Saccharomyces cerevisiae S288C: one gene and its partners. Changing the gene in region 3 together with the main gene of any one other region gives a genetic interaction. Each region holds a gene or a part of one and is shown on either strand. Other genes may lie near its edges.

Region 1 (6,985 bases), on a different chromosome or scaffold from region 3:
TTTGTTATTCCTGACATGAAGCTTTATGTAATTAAGGAAACGGACATCGAGGAATTTGCATCTTTTTTAGATGAAGGAGCTATTCAAGCACCAAAGCTATCCTTCCAGGATTATTTAAGCGGTAAGGCCAAGGCTTCCCAACAGGTTCATGAAGTGCATCATAGAAAGCTTACAAGGTTTCAGGGTGAAACTTTTCTAAGAGATTGGAACTTAGTCTGTGGGCATTATAAGAGAGATGCTAAGTGTGGAGAAATGGGACCCGACATAATTGCAGCATTTCAAGATGAAAAGCTTTTTCCTGAGAATAATCTAGCCTTAATTTCTCATATTGGGGGTCATATTTTTGCTGGTAATGTCATTTTCTATAAACTATTCGGCAGAGAAAAGATGCAAAACAAGCTGGATTCATTATGGTTTGGTAAAGTTTACCCACACAACTTGAAGCTGTTATGTGAAAACTTGGAAAACGGTAAAATCATCGACGAAATGTACAGAGGTGGCATATCGATGAATTAAAACGGTTTCCTTTTAAAACAGAAATAAAGATGAGGTGAAATTTTATATTTCTTATATTTAAAGCTATCATATATTCCTTGTACATATATTTATTAAGAAAATACATTAACACGCCTTTATACTTGGTATTATTACTGTAAAATCATTACATGTAATTTGTTCTGACTTCGTTGATTGTTTGAATTATATCCTCCACTTGTACACTCTTTAAATTTTTGGCCAAAAATTCCTGCTCATTCAAGGAAAGTCTCAGGAAATTTTCACATAAATCACCATCAATAACTTTACGTACAGGGGCATAATAGCTTCTGTATTCTTGGTGGTCTCTACCTAAAATGGAACAGGAACCCTCACATATTATTTCATCCTCTATACCATGCCGTCCTTGTAACACAACACTTCCAGATTCCTCTTCATCGTCTTCCTTACGCATATTGTTATTCTTCTTTCTTGATTCATAATCTAAATAAAACGTATCATCCGCCTCAGCCATTATATTCTCAATGTTTCCCATCATAAAAACATTCCCCTTGGATAATAAGGGGATAAAGCATCCCACGGTTCCTTGTAAGCCCATATAGATACAACCAGGTCTATCAGAATTTGAAAGGCTGTCCAGGATATGGAAATCAGTGATGATATCATTAACAAAGAAGTGGTTCAGTAGTTGAAACTTGAACTTGCAATCATAAGTATTGGGTAATTTCTGCTGTAAAGTGATGACGTCTAGTGGGTACTTGATGGCCCCATTAGATAATTCGCTGGGATCATGATTTGACATGATTTTTTCGCACTCTGGTGGAGACCTTAAAGTCCACGCATTTCCATATCTATCAGCGCCTATAACAGTTGCCTCATCTAGAAATTTCAATACCGTCACATGGCGTTTTACAGAGTCATCTACGTACGGAATAAATACATTCCCCGCAGGATCCCAGATAAATAAAGTGACAGATTCATGTATATCACCAACGGCCAGTCTTTCATAATTCCACTGGTGCATAGACACAATTTTTGTTATGGATACCGGGGTCTGTGTTACGGACCTTCTTAATAATTGCTTTTTCCCCAAACCATAAAGGACAATAGTGGAGCCCATGGCTGTCAGCAAGAAGTTTTTAAACTTCAACATAGCATGTATTGGTGAAATGATTTCTGTTTGGTGAAGTAATTCAATATCAAAAGATAGTTTATCTTTGTTAACTAATATCTTGTATGTTAACAGCCTTTTGTCGCCAGCACAAATGATCAAATGATCAGCTTGTCTTGTGAAATCTATTATAGCAGCGGAAACGCAATCGATATCGTCCAGTATCTTGTATAAATGATCCGAACTGCCAAACTTTAAGCATTCACCATCAATTTGCAGTGATATACGGCATTGTTTCTTACCACTGTGATTATCAATAAACAAAATGCTTTTCGGATTATTGGGAAATGATAAAATAGTACGAGGTCGGAATGTAGATATTTGTAACATTTCCATTTCTTCTTCCATTTCATCTTCTTCCTCTTCATTGCTTTCATCTCCTCCACCGTTCTCTTGCTTGTTAACACTTGATTCATGAACGTGAAACCAGTTATCCAAAGTTGGAAAGTTGGAAACTCTGCCAATATTTAAGCGTCCTGAGCTCGATATTGAACAAACACCGTTGATTGCAACATCTGCGTTAACAAATTTGGAACAACTTAGCATGTTTTGATCCTTTAACTGCCGTATGGTCCACACATTTTTCCACGTGTAGCTTACCCATGTAGAAGAGGAATGGCAAACCACGCATGACATCCATTTAGCTCCACTACTATTTATTTCTTCTTCTTCTTTTTCATCATCATCGTCTTCTTCTTCTTCTTCTTCTTCCTCATTATTTAGTGATACAGATATCTCACGCAAATACGAAAGGGAAACAGGCTTCAAGCCAAGGAATCGCCTTTTTATGTCAGTGAACGATCCGTCAACATCCCCTATATGAAATTTCATGTAAACGCCATTTTCTAAACCTACATGCAAATTAAGCTGTCCTATTGAGGAATCTCTAACCATTATCATGTCAGAAATCTTTTCACTAACTAATTGCAAACTTATTACAGTTAAAAAATCTTCCTTTTGGTCTTTAAGAGACATTATTTTGATCATACCCTCATTGTCAGCAATGGCTAATAAATCAGCATGCTGCGTATCTTGCACAATCGCAACTTTAGAGGGCATTGTGTCCAATTCTGGGTGGGTGGTTAATTCGATTAACGAATCCGAAGATACATCTATCTTGAAATAAACCAATTCGTAATTTGATAATGATATAATTAGTTGTGTTTTCGAGGACGTGGCACATACAATACGAATTCCCGCTGGTGGCACCCAAGTCAGCTTATTAGAATACCTAGATTTACCAGTCGGTACGATATGTCTTAGTTCTGCGGTGCATACTTGGATAATAGAGTGTGAGCCCATTAGGCATGTATGAATTGTTGTGTCCTGAGAGAGCTTGAAAGCTGAACGCGTTGCTTCATCCGGTGTTAGTTCCTCCATGGACTCGTTGTCAATTTGTAGTATCATAGTTTTCTTGGGAAAAGTTATGAACAAAAGAGTATTGTTATCGCCGGTTGTTGCAGGATCGGGTATTAGCCATAACTTGGTTGCGTTCGGGGGTAAACTAGTAGATATCAAATTAGAGTAATTCACAGCATTTGTTAAAGTTATTATCTTGTTGTTTGTAAAATGTTTAGTGGCGATAGACAGTGGCGAATCACTGACAATTTGAGATTTTATTGAAGGGTTCAAATTCAATTGTTGCGATAATATGCTCAAATTCTGCAACTTTATGGATGGTTCGAAAACTAGCGACTTATTTGGATCTTTTGAGGTTAAAACATTAGAAAAATCATTTTTCTCTACACCAAGTTTCTCAAACTGGAAAAGAAAGTTGTTATTCATTTCAGATAGTGCAAAAAGATAACCGTTTTTGAAAATGTGTAATTGGTGTGAATTTTGGATTGTATCAAAGTAGGACAATTGAACTAAAGGTCTATTTCTATCATTAGTGTCTGGACTTACAGTTAACTTAAAAAGATCGCCATGGTTAGATTGTAAAAGTACGAAAAAATCATTTTTCAATTTCTGCACTATGCCTGATATGATTGTTACATTTTTATGACGGCTATTTGTGATAGATCTTTTGGGTATTTCCACTTTCAGGCTGAAAAATCCGTTCATATCCTTTACCAGAATATGATTTTCGAAGCCTATGACAACAAAAGGGTTGAAAAGGGTATCATAGTCAGCATCATAGTTGTTGTCGCTTAGCGAAGTTGTTATATTATATCGCGATAGATCTGGCAAACTCAGTACGAAATTGGCAGATGGGTTAACTAAATAATCTGCCTTCTTGACGATGTGATTCAAACCCAACTCGAGGACATAAAATATCAAGTGTACTGATAGTTGAGTAGCGGCATTGTCGATTTCTAAGGTAACAAAACATGGATTATTGAAATTTACATCAACAACTGCCATATCCAGCGTTACCATATGGGGTCTGATGATTTCCAATGGAGACGAAATCCTCAATTTTTGAGCATAATCAACGAGGAAACACAATTTATTTTGTTCGACAGATGAGAGAATGATACAACGCCCATTAGGGTCAATTTCCATGTATGATATGGGAGAGACTCTTCGAAGGGTGGTCCTCGTCAATGGCTGGTTCACTAAAGTCTTAAGTCTAAGAGCACCTGCATGCATAATGATTTGCACGATACTTAGGTTACCAGAATCGGAAGTTAGCGCTAGAAAAGTGGGCCAGTTGGAAGCTTTTGCCCTTGACCCTGAATGCGGCAGATCCAGCGACTTCATCGAGGTTATCGTCGCAAACAGGTTTTGAAACTTGGCAATAAGCTTTAGTTCCCCATCTGCAGTATCATAAAGTTCTAAATGCGTCTCAGTAGCTACGCACAATTGCGACTGCTCACGCTTGGACCCTGCTTCCAGATCGACGAAGTGTCCGATGCAGGAGTGCACGAAATTCGTCTGTTTCTTTAAAGTAAGATGGTACAAGTATAGCTCATCATCTTTAGCAACCATTGTTATGTTATGGTCACTCCTTGTTCTTCTTTCAGCCTCTCGTTTTAAACCGTCATAAGCCATCGTTGTGCTAGCTTGCCCAAATAGTTTACGCATCTTCGCCGTGTGGGGCGACAAGCTTACTACTGCCATTTTGCCACCTCCCCACATTTAATGATGGAAAATATTATAAAAAAGCGAGAAAAGAAGCTAATGGTGCCATTGTTTTCCTTTTTAGAGAGGGGCAGCAGAGATCGGTGGACTTTGTTTTGATAGAGGGCGATTGCAAGCATGGAGATTTACATTAGACTTAACGCAGATGTCGAGCACGACTATGCGTTTCAGGTGTCAAATGAAGACACCATAAATAACAAAATTAAGAAGATTTTCCCTTCCAAGACGGGTTTGGCGGACTTAATGGTGCTGAGACCATCAATTTTCCATGAGAAGGAGCCCGTAAAGTTCTATAAGTCTATCCATCCAGGGTACCTGTCCGAAGGTGGTTGTTTGATGTTCCATTATGAAGCTGATAACGAAGAAAATCTCGAGGAGTTGAATGACTCCAAGCCGCTTATTGACCAGTTGTGGCCTGGTCAGCTAGTTGTTCCGGAGTGGAAGCTATCCAAGAAAAACATATGGGTATACACCATTATTATGTTGGCCTGGCTATATACCGATTTGCCCGACGCCATTTCTCCAACCCCAGGTATTTGTTTGACTAATCAATTGTCTAGACTATTGATTCCTGTAGCCAAGCACATGGATTTACCTGAAATTGCCGCTAAACTCGAACAAGAAGTTCAGGCAAACTATTCTAGTCTCGTAGCTCAATGGCTTTTCTTTGTCATGCACATTTTCAAAGTGGGCATAATTACTTTATTCCTCAAATTAGGCATTGCCAACCCCATCAGCTTCAATCCTTACAAGTTATGGAGTTTGAGAGATTTAACTTCTCCTTCTGCTAACGGCGCTAAGAATTCTGGCGGCAATAACAACACTACTGACTTAAAGACACGTTTGCGCTCTCTGGGCTGGATTGGTGCTAAGAGAGCTACTTACGACGATTACCAGACTAACTATTACAACTATGTCATAGATAAGATGGGTGGTGCAGTTGCTGCTTATAGAGCGGGCGCGATTAGGAAAGCTGCAGCACCAGGTATCCAACTTGTGGCTGGAGAGGGTTTCCAAAGTCCTCTAGAAGATAGGTTCACTGCTTCCACTTTCACGGCTATTAAAACCGAACGGAAATTCATTTTAAGTGAAGAATACTTTGTGGAGCTGGAAAACAATCTAAAGAAGATCTTGGAAGAGTATGACGGGGATATTGGTAAGATGAATGCTGAAATTAGGAGGTTTAGAAGGTTTGGTATTTATGAACCAGATGAAAAACTGGCCTCGCTAGTTAAGCTCAGAAGAGAAATTGCTGATGAGAAAGAGAAAGCATCAAACAATGATGCTACTTTTGGTATAAAAAAGAATGATTTGAAAAAATCTAATTAATTGTAAAACCAAAACACTACCATCCAGACTTTTTTTTTATTCAACCATAGCCTTTAACTACTACTACTACTACTAGTACTACTACTATTACTATTACTATTACTACTACTAGAGGGCCTTTTTTTACTCCTAGTATTTTTGTACTATCCTATTTACTCTCGTTGTTTTTATTAGTTTTTTCACTCTTTTTTTCAATTCCTCACGAATCTACTGTTTTCGTAGTGCTTTTTTTTGTTTCATTGTTTATAGCCATCAATGGTTTTTGTTACTATCATTATCATTATAAATATTTCATACAATATATACAATATATATACAATAAATGAGAATCGATTTACTTTTAATGCATTTTTGCAGTCAAAAAAAGCTTCGTTTACATTTATATGTATTTATGTTTGTATTTCTGGGGGAAATATGCCTTTATGGGCGTATATACTCTTTCGTACGTTTCTACATCCGAGTAGCAGTAGTAACTCGGTATTGTGCTTTCGTCGCCATAATCAGGACTATCATAATCGAATTTTTTTTGCGTTTTGTTGTCACCACATATGGTCCCTTCTTCCTCATCATCTATCAATATTCCCAATTCGTAGACAGTTCTACTTAAATTCTCGTCAATGACTTTAGACACATACTTTCGTAGTTTCAATTCATACCCCTTAACCTTCCTTTTACTAGACAAAAATCTCGGACGTATAAAAATGATGAATATTATTATGCTTAGAATTAATTTGCTTATTAAAATTACCCATATGATAAACGAGAACAACATGAAGGACAAGATCACACTTTCTTCGTAATTTGTCTTAGCAATATGTTTTATCTTGTTTATTATTCCATTTAGGTCATCTAAATTACCTAGGCTTTGAGTACTATGGGTTCCGCTACTGGTCTCATTCGAAACTG
Region 2 (6,354 bases), on a different chromosome or scaffold from region 3:
ATTTCCTAAAGAACTCATATAGAATAATGAGATGATAATTATCATATTCTAATAAATTATTAAAATAAAACCAATCATTAAGCGTCAGATATCCCTTGTTTTGTTCATCAATAGCGAAGAAAATACACCCGAAAACGTTCTTGGGTATCTGGTTCAAATTGAACGAATGGTCCGTAAACTTCGAATAAATAGTCTTTGAGCTAGATATCAGTTCAATGAAATCGTCGTATGTTAAAATTAGTTCTCCTGTAAGCTTCTCCGTGTCAGGTTTCCCATTTCCTGCTGTGAGTTTACTGGAGTTCACTGTCGGCATATCTAACATACCATTACTGATACTAATAGGCTTGTCCTCTTTTGTAAGGACACTTGCAAAATATTTGAATACTTCCAATTGTTGCTTCTTTTTTCTACTGTTCGAATTGATTTGCTCCATAATAGTATAATAATTCTTTAAGGTCGGTAGCAAAGCTGCATACTTTCAAACTACGCTATGAAAGTTATGTACTTTTCCAGTGAAATATGTTCACAAAGAAGGGATCAGGCTACTTCGAAAATTATGGCAAACGCGAGGTTGTGAGATAAAACTTGAAAGTCTGGTGAGATTAGATATCAAATCTTAACATATAAAAGACAGGTTCGTCTTGAGGTATTTATCTATCTTCGAAATATTTTTTTCTTTGCTTCGAATACTGGTTAATTCTGAGATTCAATATATGTTTCGAGATGTTTTTCCAACATGCCGGCAGTACTCCCCTAAAGCGATGCTGCAGAAATTTTTCATAACCGCTTGCAGTGGGATGACCAATAAAGAAAGCTCTTTCTCCTACGTAAAACATAGATCATACTTACATGTAAAATATGAAGCGCAATTATATACAGTGTCGATTTTATTTAACAATTTCACAGCTGGCAGTTTACAAATGTTTTCATAACCATTTCATTAATCTAACAATAAATATGATGATTTACCAATATACGAATATAAACTAAACATCAAACATGTTATGACAAGTGGGTGACGTTTTCCCTAGGCTCCTTTCCAAACAATTATCGAAGAGTTTTCCGAATTCGCGCCCTAAATCCCAGTAGCTCTTGTTGAAAATATCTCTCATAAACTGCATCATCCCGCATAGAAAGTGGGTATTAGAAATATGTTGAAGTAAACTCGCTTTTGCCCAAACGTCATTCTGAAAGCTAACTACATCGAGTGAGCTATCCACATATAAGTTCCGATACATTCTCAATAGGTAAACTTCAAAACTTTCTATTGGAATGTAATTGTTCTTTTCCTTTAAATTGTTGTTTGCAATCGTCGATCCATTATTATCAGTATTGCCTAGAATGTTTCCACCATTGCTGTCATCTGGTTGAAAGCATTCATCCTTTGAGGCTTCTGTATTATCCCATATGCTAACTTCACAGCCATGTAATGCAAAATTACAAGACCAAATTAGGAGTGAAGTTAATGCAATCGCATAGGGTCTAGTAATCACAGGATCAGAATTTATATTGTAGCTCTTCACTACGGTTGGAACGTTATTTTCCTTAATGATAAACATTTCAAATAAGAACTGGAAGGCATAGACTACAGCTACACCCCCATTGTAGGGGTCCTTAGCGAACTGGAGAATCCTGCGACTGATCATGTCATATTCATCGCGACCAATTGGTACATTCATTCTCCAAGGTGCTCCTGCATATATGTAATAATCATGATGAAGAATACGTAGGACAATTTGAGAGATATGAATAACGGGAATTTTACAATTTGACGGATTATCGGAGGAAAGCAAGTCCAAATCATCATCACATAGTCCATCTCCATTATCCTCGTCAATTTTTCTGTTCGTTAGTGTCTCCTCAGATGGAGTACTTATCCTACATGCTTTCGGATCAGTGCAGCTTTTCTGAACTTCGTGAAGCCAATAGTTCATTGCAAATGATAAAATATCTTTCCATGAAAGGCCTAAATGATCAGTGATTCCGCCCCTAAAGTTAGTAATGAAATAGTCACCATTAACTTCCTCTTGACATTGAAATAAGATCGAAATTATCCCCGCCAAAAGAATCTTTTTACCAAAAAGACTCTGAATATTCCAATCTGTAGTGCTTTCCAAGTCTGTAGGGGTACTCTCTATTCCACCATTGTTGACTTTGTTTCTCCGTATATTATTATTTCGTAAGATTTGAATGACATTTTTCATTAATTGCATTAACGCAGACAAAAATGTATTATTCTCATCTCTCTTTGTGCTGCCATACCCATGCTCCATCAGAGTTTCATAGCTCAAATCATAAGATTCCCACACTTGATCTGGACAGGGTAAAGTTAGTTGAATCTGATTGCTATTAATAAATAAATTCCAGTATCCAAACACTACAGCATGTGTAGTGTCCATATAAAATGCGTAGAAAGCTATTCTTTTCAACATTTCAAAATCAATCCATCTTTTATAAACTTCTTGTGGGTCTTGAATTGAATTTTCCCCAGAGGTTTTGCCGGTTTTGACCATTAAGGGATGGCCGCCTAAAGAGGGCGTTCGCCTTAGCAATTGAATGGTCGTTCCGTGATGTAAAAAAGACCTTTCATGTAAATACCTGTTCGTACTTGTTTTTTCATATCCTTCGACTAATAATAAACTTTGAATGATGTAGGTTTTAGAAGGTGGTTGAAAATCAGCATGAGAAAAAATTATCCATCTTAGAGGACCACAAATTGGGTCACTAATCTGTTCACGATACTCGCTTCCCAAAAAACTTGCGCCAGTCATAATTAGTGCCAAATTCAAAATTGCAGGCTGTTTATCAACGTGAAAAGAGGGTTTGTGAAGCAGACCGTATTGTGGATGGAAGTTCAACCAGAAGGATTTTAACGATTTGTGTATAGATTCAATAGAGACATAGCGTAATTCTGGAACAAATGAAAACATTTCTTGACATTTTTCTTTTGATATCTTATACTTTGTTAAGGGATCCGGATGGAAAAATGACGGGACACTTTTCATAGAGTGACGCAACTGTTCCTTGTAGTTCAGAGAGGAATTGTTTCCTACTCCTGAATCTTTAGATGATCTCCGTTTTAGCTCGTTGATATTAAGCTTCTGACTGGAAAGATTGTCCTTCACTGAAGTACTGGGGTTATCGTTGAACTTCGGTTGTGCTTTGGGAATTTTAATGTTATCTTGTGGTAACTCAAACATAACTGGAGGATTCTGGAACCCTTCGTCTTGTTGAACAGGTTTTTCATTAGGTGGGATTGTATTCTTGTCAGAAAATGTATCTTCAATACTTACTTGCGGGGCTTCAGAAAGTTCTTGCATGAAAGATTGTAATGGGTCGCTGTTCAAAAAATTTGTAGAAAAAAGGTCCTGCATAACTGACAAATTAGCACCGCTAGAGGAAGATGTTAATGGATCTCCAAATGGATTCTGGGGTGGTAATTGTTGTTGTTGTTGTTGTTGCTGTTGCTGTTGCTGTTGCTGTTGGGCAAGCTTTTGCTGCTGAAAGTACTGTTCCTGTTGTTGATCCTGGGTAAGTGGCTGGAGTGGCTGCTGATATGAACTACTTGCAAAATTTCTGTCTTGATATCGTTGCTGCTGCACGGCTGGATTGATATTCATATTTTGGTCATTGCCATTACCGTTGTTATTCGCTGCATCCACTTCAAAACCATTAACGCCTGTACGGTTATCAAATATCAAATTAAAAAATTGATTACCATTTTGACCGTTGTTCCTTATTCGAGGATCATACGATGGAAAAGTAGGACTTGCTTGCTGTGGATGCATTTGTTGCTGCAACATAGGTTGTTGCAATGGTGCCCGCAGTTGCTGCGGGAATTGAAGTTGCTGCAGTTGTTGAATTTGTTGTGGTTGTTGTGATTGCTGAACCTGTTGAGGTTGTTGAGCCTGTTGAAGAAAAGGACGAAATTTTGATTCTTGTGTGATAGATGGTGGTGGATTCACAGAATTTTTTATTAAGTTAATCGTAGAAGTTCCACTTTGCGTAGAAAGGGGTACTTCACTGGGATTATATGGTGCATTTTTGGAGAAGTCCTTATTTGATGAGGAAATCTGGTCCTTGCTTGGCCGACTTAATCTGTTTTTCACCTTTGAATGCCTCTTTTCATGTCTGATCAGTAAATCTTTCCTTACAAACGTTTTATTGCAAGGCGCATTTGTAGTAGGAAGCACGTAAGAACAAACATATATCTCTTTCGGCCAGTGGTTTAGCTTGTGTCTTGATAAATGTTCCTGACGTGAGAAAGTTTTATTACATTCGGGATGTGGACACCTAAATCTTTCAGCAGGAGAAGAGCTTGAATTTGGTGATAAATCGTTATCATTTTCCCTTTTCCGGAGCCTGCCAGCCAACTCTTTGCCGTGCATTTTTGCCAATATTAAGAGCTAGCTTCACTGCTTTATTGGTCACTTTTTATAATTATAAACATAGTAGATGAGTCCTAGAATCTCAATACAGCCTTTAAAACTATTAAAGAAGCTGTTCGCAACTCACAAAAAAAATAAAAAAATAAAGCAGAACGAAAAAAAAAAAAAACAAAAAAAACAGTTAACTATTCTAATTACTTAGAATCTTTAAAAGTCTTACTGTAATTCGATCAGTGGAGAAGGAAAGCGCACATGTGATATCTCGCAATTTCTTCTCAAACTACCTTGACAGTAATTTTTCTTAAAAACGATTGGCTCCTACATGAAATCCACGAAAAAGCACGGTAGTCTTGTTAGAGGACACTGATATACGAGGAAAGAATTGATAAAGCGGAAGGTCTTTGGAAACAATTCAAGACCGATGACATAACTTTTAAGAGGTAGGTGGGGAAGCCCATATGGAGAATTTTAAAAGCAATAGGGTGCTCGCTTCCAAGCAAATTAGTACTTTTTTTTTTTTTTTAGCAGGAGAATAAAGCTTCAAGCTAATGCACTAGAGTTCGAGGTGCATCATTTCAGTTTTTTTTGCTAGGGCATAATTGATCAGCCTGTTAAACTCATTGCATAGTCAGTAAATTTACAATCCCCGAAAATAATGGTTCCCTTAAATAAGCGAGTTAAGGACTTTTTTTTTTTTTTACAGCAGTAGACCAACCTGTACATGTTTCATAGTCAAGTAATAGCCTGACGAATATCAAACGTTTCCTCTTTTTCATTCCTTTCCTTCAAATGCCTTGGGTTGAAAGGATAGACGTGTATTTAATGCAAGCTCTATCTATAATGAGTGTTATTACAATTGTTATGCTTCTGCATTGAGCGATGAATAAATATAAACAACTCCTTTTCGAACAACTTGTAATTATCCTACGCTTTTGCCTGAGGTCCTTTTTAGCCATTGACAACAAGCAAGTGTCTTTCTGTATGAAGTAAACCCTGCATAAAGTTGTTTTTTGCTGCGTCAGAGGGTTAATGACTTCGAAAGACCCTTTTCTCATATAAGACGCGCCACAGAAGAATGCGCACGACAACGGACTATTTTAGATTATATAATGGCGCGTGTGATGCTGCTTTAATCATGTTGCATAGACCATGCAATTACACTAAAAATATAAAACAAGGAGCCCTGGACAGAACTTGGTAGTGTGCAAACGAGTAAGTGAAGATGATAGTACATTATATACGAAGCTCTTAGTAAGCTCATACTAGATGCGAAACGATGGATACGTCAGAAAAATAACAAAAATAAAATATAATCATTAATGATGTTTTAACTCGACAAGCCCCTTTCAGAGCTGCCATTACCCTAAGAACCTTGCAAAGAGAATAAACTTGAATTTCGTAAAGTGCCACGAACAGTGTCCATATTCTTACACGAGATATTCTGTGAAGAGTTATTGCATAAATACGGAAGAACTAAATACTAGAAATAATCCCAAGCTAGAATATAAACGTCTCACATACCTAAAGCCACTCCTTCGTATTGGCTAGACGTATTTACATACAGAGCATCGTCACTTCTATTTGGATCCTTGTCATTGAAGTATTCGTCCACATGCATCAACAACCAAACCAAGAAGTCTTCGGTTTGTTTGATTAAAAGCTGACAGCTTTGTAGATCCATTGTAGTAGACGAGATCAGCTCTGGTAAAACACTTATCAACCTTAACAGATGGATAGCCCCATAAATTCTAATTGGTACTAGTGGCTTTTGATCCTTCGATGATTTTTTCAGAAGTTCGTCATATTGCAGCCGTTCCAACCTATATAAAAGCATATTACCCAGGCACTTGTCAAAATACAACTTGAGACCGGCACAGTATTCGCTCAACTGTGACTGGGACCCTGGCGATTCCAATTCTTGACTCACTTCATGTTCGTATTTATTCAGTACCATCTCTACCGTCAC
Region 3 (3,381 bases):
TTCCTTAGCCCTATGTATATTTACTGTATAGGATAAATGAAATACCAAAAATAAAAAAGTATAAAACGAAAGAATATAACCCTCGTTTATATCTGGTCATTTGTCTTGCTCATTTGTTAGCATTTAAACTTGCTAATACGAAACTCAATGTAAAGAATACTTTAAAACCCATGTATTCTGTACCCAATAACCCATCAATAAGCAGTTTCTTCAAGTCTACATCTTTCAAAACAATTACAGATTTGATATTTTTCAAATTAATGCGAATCCATCCCTTGTACCGTAACCATTCACAAAGAAGCATGCTTGTAATACCGACATACATAAACAAAATTGATATCTTAGCCACCGTAACTCCTAAAACAACACCGAATAATGATCCCAAAAACATCTGCTTGTGACTACTTATTTTGTTCCTCCTTTCCTCGGTAATTGCCGTACTGTTGCCCACAGTTGGTTCCAAGGGACCCTGTTGTTTGACAGCTGCCCCTAAAGAATCATTGAATATCAACTTAGAAGGCTGGCGATTCATCAAGTAAAAGCCACCAGCAACTATGCCAGCACCGCCTAACCCTACAGAGCGAGTTAAGGGCTTTCCTAATTTATTGGCGACATTAAACCTCCATAAGGGGACGTTCTTGAACATGCGCTTCCCAACATTCAAATTACGAAACACCAACCGTTGCATATTAAAAGCCAAAGTCATTTTACACCTATTATTTTAAGTTCTTCCTTCTTGCCCCTCTAGCGTTATGCTGTTGTATGTATAATAAGATGCCTTGTTTAACCAATTTCAACAACCCCTAGGTTTTCTAGCACTTGTTGGAAAACTTAAATATGAAATGACGGATTTGTAAAATTTTCACGACACAACAGCTTCACTTCTAATAATGTATAAAATATAATTTATGTGTGAACATAGATGGTTACAATTTTACATAGGTAAATATGACCTCTTATTCGAAGGAAGAAGCCCTCCAACTCTTTCATTCTGATTTAGGTCGGAGTTCGTGCGCTTGTTTGCGTCTTCTAGCACCTTCCCTGGCCCAAAACTCGTCTCTATAAATCTCCCATCCTTCTCTAATCTCTGCACTAAATGCTCTGGGGTTGAGGACTAATTTCACATCCACAGCTCCGATCCTCGGTTGGGATTGTATCGTGACACTTTTCCAAAATTTCACAATGGCATTATCGTCTTTAAGCCACAGAAATTTTTTCAAACAATAAATATTACAATAAGCAATTGTTCGACTCACAAATCTTACTGAATCTGTGTATTTCTCGTCCCACGTAGACTGTACTTTAACTAGCTTCACATTAAACTGCCTAATCCCTTTATTAGTAGAGGTAAAAAATCTTCTTGGAATGACGATAGTTCTTCTATATTGTCCACTGATATGAAAAAGAACTACAGTAATGGAAATGAAAGAAAGAGTGAATTGCAAAATAACCCTATGGAGGCCCTTGACATAATCTGAAGTGAAATAAAGTTCGTAGAAGGTAAATGCGCCTACACCGGCCATAGACGCTAAGAACAAAGTGAATTGCCACTTCAGTATCTTTTGTTCGTGAGCTTGGCGTCTTAAATCATCCTCCAGTATCAACAAATTCCTGAAAATCATCGATGCTGGAGAGATATTACTGGAGTTCCGTATATTCTTCGCACTGGATGTCTTGCTAGTAGAACGCCTGCGAGGCCCGGACACTATACTGGCACTATCATCCTGGGCATGGTTCCCCACATCGCCTATGCTCTCTGGCTCCATGACCTCCTTTATTTAGCTTTCCACTACCTTTCTTCCTTTGTGTGTATAATCAATAGATTTTCGCTAAATTTCGCATCTTCCCTTTTAAGAATAATTAGTATTTAATTTTACTTTGACTTTATTGTTGAGTGAAGAAACAAAGCAAATATACGTTAGGAAAAAGACACGAACAGAGAAGACCGATCTTGATGCTACCCTATATGGACCAAGTACTAAGGGCATTTTATCAGAGCACCCATTGGAGTACGCAAAATAGCTACGAGGATATAACGGCCACATCGAGAACATTATTAGATTTCCGAATTCCCTCAGCAATACACCTGCAAATTTCCAACAAATCTACTCCCAATACATTCAATTCTTTAGATTTTTCTACGAGGTCCAGGATAAATGGTTCTCTGAGTTATTTATACTCCGATGCACAGCAATTGGAGAAATTCATGCGCAACTCTACTGATATCCCATTACAAGATGCCACCGAAACATACAGACAATTGCAACCAAACCTCAATTTCAGTGTTAGTAGTGCGAATACGTTGAGTAGTGACAACACCACAGTCGACAATGACAAGAAATTACTACATGACTCGAAATTTGTTAAAAAATCCCTTTATTATGGTAGAATGTACTACCCCAGCTCTGATTTAGAAGCAATGATAATAAAACGACTAAGTCCACAAACCCAATTTATGCTTAAGGGTGTCAGTAGTTTCAAAGAAAGCTTAAACGTTTTAACGTGCTATTTTCAAAGAGATTCTCACCGCAATTTACAGGAGTGGATATTTTCCACCAGTGATCTATTATGTGGTTATAGAGTATTACACAATTTCCTTACCACGCCTTCCAAGTTTAACACCTCACTGTACAATAATTCTTCGTTGTCGCTTGGTGCTGAATTTTGGTTAGGGTTAGTAAGTTTAAGCCCCGGTTGTTCGACAACTTTAAGATATTACACACATTCTACAAACACAGGACGACCACTAACTTTGACATTATCTTGGAATCCATTATTCGGCCATATATCCTCCACATATTCGGCCAAGACAGGGACAAATTCTACTTTTTGCGCGAAGTATGATTTTAATCTTTATTCGATTGAATCAAATCTTTCATTTGGGTGCGAATTTTGGCAAAAAAAGCATCATTTGCTTGAAACCAATAAAAACAATAATGATAAATTAGAACCAATCTCCGACGAATTGGTTGATATAAATCCAAACAGCAGAGCGACTAAACTACTGCACGAAAATGTACCGGATCTGAATTCAGCTGTTAACGATATTCCTTCTACACTAGATATACCTGTTCACAAACAAAAGCTATTAAATGATTTAACTTATGCATTCTCGTCGTCATTAAGAAAAATCGATGAAGAAAGATCTACCATCGAAAAATTTGATAACAAAATAAATAGTTCCATTTTTACCAGTGTTTGGAAATTAAGCACGTCATTACGTGACAAGACTTTAAAACTATTATGGGAAGGCAAATGGAGGGGATTTTTAATATCTGCCGGGACAGAGCTGGTATTCACTAGAGGCTTTCAAGAAAGTTTATCCGATGATGAAAAGAATGATAATGCAATATCTATATCAGCAACTGATACAGAAAACGG
Region 4 (3,168 bases), on a different chromosome or scaffold from region 3:
TAATTCGCCATCCTCATAACCACTGAAAAATCGAAGTTAACCAAAAGGAAAGTTGAAATGGAGGAAGTGTTCCGTTTTTACTCGAACTCTAGAAATATCTTCATTCATAAAAGCCTTTCATTAAAACCATCCACCATTGATGACCCCAAAAGTGGATATGGCCTTTTCGTAGAACCTTCGAAGTTCAAGAATGATGAATTGAAAAGTGAAACTATCCAATTGCTCCGAATCCCTAAGCGCTGCACGTTTAATATAAACACACTTCTGGCTCTCTTGGGAGATGAGGACGAATTTTCTTCAAAGGAAGAATTTCAAAGAACTAATGACAAAATTAAGATTGCTCTTCGTGAAATAATGGCTCATCCGAATTTCAGTGTGTTCCTGACAGAAACAAATTTACTCATAATTTATTTCATGATATTTCAAACTATTCGTAGTCGTTATGAGATTCCCGAAAATATCCAATATTATTTAGAAAATGTTTTAATGAGCATTGAAGTAGAAACAGCCATGGATTCTATTGAAAACTTAGCTACTGATTATGGACATTATCCACAGATTTTTGGCCTTCGAGAGACGCTAAATTTATTTAAAGAACTGTTTCACGACGTCTTGAATTTAAGTGATATCAAACATCTTTATTCTGCAATAATTTCACGTTGTTTAGAGATACCAGAAAGGGCCGATACCAAAAGTGAAGAATTCACGGTCCATTCTACTTTAGTCCCTATTGTAGATTTTGCCAACCATGAAGGCACCCAAAAAAATGCTTATTTTGACATCGACCCTTCAAATAATGACGTTTTACTTCTATTGGATACAAAAGCGGTCCAAAGTGAACTCACAAAACCTATTGAAGTTTTCATTAGTTACTCACCAACAGAGGATTTATTTTCCATGCTTGTAACATATGGATTCACCCCAGATTTTAGAGGGAATTCCCAATTTTGGACTGTATCCTTTGACAGGTGCTTTTTAAGAAACTATGATGGACCAGATAAAACTACAAATTTAAGATTGTTTTACAAATGGATGCACATAAATCCAGTGGTACCACTAGTTAAATACGAGCACAACGGAAAGACTCGCTGGTTTCTCAATGACACCACGCCTGAATTTGATATGCTTTTGCTCCCATTCATTCCATCGATAGATGATGGCAAAATTGCTCGGTGGGCGTACGATTCCACATGTCATTTGATGTTCACGAAAATCCATTGTCTGATAAATCCCGAGGCCAACGAACATGCGTTAATGATTGCAGAAAACTACCGCTCTCTCATTAAAGAGAAAGAGTCAAATGGTGACGATTTCATAAATTTACCGCCACTAGCTTGGTCATTGCGTTACAAAGATACAGAAAACGATTGTGTACGGCAAAGACATATATGCAGTGAAGATGCGGTCGCTGTACTTAAACAAGAAGAAATGCAAGACTCAACCAAAACCAAATCCCAGTTTACCAGTTTCTTTCGTAAATTTTTAGAGTTTCGTAGATCCAAAATTATTAGGCCTACCAGTGATTCAAAAGTTGCAAGCATATTATACCAGCAGGAACTGGAAATAATTGCTGACTTAGCAAAAGCTATCGATAGCAGCTCTACCATTTTTTTCAGCGATCTGAATGTTACATTGGACACCGAACCAGAACGGCTCCCCCCTCTAAGGTTTTTAGATGATTACATAGAGATCTCTGCGGATAAGCAGGAGCCAAGCCCAATTTGTGAGGATCTTTCTTATTATACACCCAGCAGGTTTACTGATTTTTTTCAAGAAGAGGTAAGCCAATATGCGGCTTTCTTTCAGGATGACTAGATGAGTACCACTTACGATCTTGTATATAAATGTTTTTAGTTGTCCTTTCTTCTACATTAAAAGCATCACAAAGAACAATCTGACGCGTTTTTCCACTGTCTCTTTCTCGCGTTTTATTCTTTTCCGTTTGAGACAAAAAAAGAGGAGCTTTGTAGTGTAATACTACTAGTTACTTAAGGGAACACATCAAGCATTCGGTGTCTCACAGGCTACTATGAAATATAATATAGTGCATGGAATTTGCCTATTATTTGCTATTACCCAAGCTGTAGGGGCTGTCCATTTTTATGCGAAGTCCGGGGAAACCAAATGCTTCTATGAACACTTATCCCGGGGAAACCTACTGATTGGGGATTTAGACCTATATGTAGAAAAGGATGGTCTGTTTGAAGAGGACCCTGAATCCAGTCTGACAATAACTGTCGATGAAACATTCGATAACGACCATCGTGTCCTAAATCAAAAAAACTCACACACAGGTGATGTTACTTTTACAGCTTTAGACACAGGTGAACATAGATTTTGCTTCACTCCATTCTACAGCAAGAAATCAGCCACACTAAGAGTATTCATCGAACTAGAAATTGGCAATGTTGAAGCGCTTGACAGCAAGAAAAAAGAAGATATGAATTCACTTAAGGGGAGGGTAGGCCAGTTGACTCAAAGGCTATCTTCTATTCGTAAGGAGCAAGACGCTATCAGAGAAAAAGAGGCAGAATTCAGAAATCAAAGTGAATCAGCTAACAGCAAGATAATGACGTGGTCTGTGTTCCAACTTCTCATATTGCTGGGCACCTGTGCCTTCCAGCTACGCTATCTCAAGAATTTCTTTGTCAAACAGAAGGTAGTATAATATACCATGTTTGTTATATAGAGTTTATATATCGCTCATTACGAATCGGTGCAATGAGCTCTTCGATATGAAATATTCCTTAGCTTAGTAATAAGAGTGACTTAAGCTGATGCCGTTGACTGCAAAAGGAAGTAAATAGAAGTCAATAACAATGAATGACTACCATCTCGAGGATACCACGTCTGAACTTGAAGCATTAAGATTGGAGAATGCACAATTAAGAGAGCAGCTTGCCAAGAGAGAAGACAGCAGCCGCGACTACCCATTATCTTTGGAAGAATACCAACGTTACGGAAGACAAATGATTGTTGAAGAAACAGGTGGTGTAGCAGGTCAAGTCAAGTTGAAAAATACAAAAGTTTTGGTAGTTGGTGCTGGAGGTTTGGGATGTCCCGCCTTGCCCTACTTAGCGGGCGCTGGCGTGGGCCAAATAGGCATAGTAGATAACGATGTGGTGGAGACTTCCAATTTGCATAGGCAGGTTCTTCATGATTCTAGCA

Evidence for each region.
Region 1: mutations in SPO7 (region 3) and RSE1 together harm fitness more than expected from each alone (negative genetic interaction), as found in Saccharomyces cerevisiae (one large-scale study listed by BioGRID).
Region 2: mutations in SPO7 (region 3) and SDD4 together harm fitness more than expected from each alone (negative genetic interaction), as found in Saccharomyces cerevisiae (one large-scale study listed by BioGRID).
Region 4: mutations in SPO7 (region 3) and ERP5 together harm fitness more than expected from each alone (negative genetic interaction), as found in Saccharomyces cerevisiae (one large-scale study listed by BioGRID).

The regions. Positions count from the first base shown.
Region 1 is NC_001145.3:173,559-180,543, forward strand, and holds RSE1 (U2 snRNP complex subunit RSE1), read right to left. Parts: upstream 4,748-6,985; coding exon 662-4,747; downstream 1-661. Other genes in the region: AIM32 (Aim32p), read left to right, coding at 1-516; GSF2 (Gsf2p), read left to right, coding at 4,868-6,079; pheromone-regulated K(+) transporter PRM6, read right to left, coding at 6,459-6,985. UniProt on the Saccharomyces cerevisiae protein: Involved in G2/M transition. Required for pre-mRNA splicing and endoplasmic reticulum (ER) to Golgi secretion pathway. U2 snRNPs associated protein required for the pre-spliceosome assembly.
Region 2 is NC_001148.4:602,925-609,278, forward strand, and holds SDD4 (Sdd4p), read right to left. Parts: upstream 4,389-6,354; coding exon 987-4,388; downstream 1-986. Other genes in the region: AGC1 (citrin), read right to left, coding at 1-433; EAF3 (Eaf3p), read right to left, coding at 5,902-6,354.
Region 3 is NC_001133.9:134,239-137,619, reverse strand, and holds SPO7 (Nem1-Spo7 phosphatase regulatory subunit SPO7), read right to left. Parts: upstream 1,767-3,381; coding exon 987-1,766; downstream 1-986. Other genes in the region: FUN14 (Fun14p), read right to left, coding at 110-706; MDM10 (Mdm10p), read left to right, coding at 1,955-3,381. UniProt on the Saccharomyces cerevisiae protein: Regulatory component of the NEM1-SPO7 complex which acts as a phosphatase and dephosphorylates the phosphatidic acid phosphohydrolase PAH1. Essential for the formation of a spherical nucleus and meiotic division.
Region 4 is NC_001140.6:330,253-333,420, forward strand, and holds ERP5 (Erp5p), read left to right. Parts: upstream 1-2,029; coding exon 2,030-2,668; downstream 2,669-3,168. Other genes in the region: CTM1 (cytochrome c lysine N-methyltransferase), read left to right, coding at 58-1,815; UBA4 (Uba4p), read left to right, coding at 2,820-3,168. UniProt on the Saccharomyces cerevisiae protein: Involved in vesicular protein trafficking.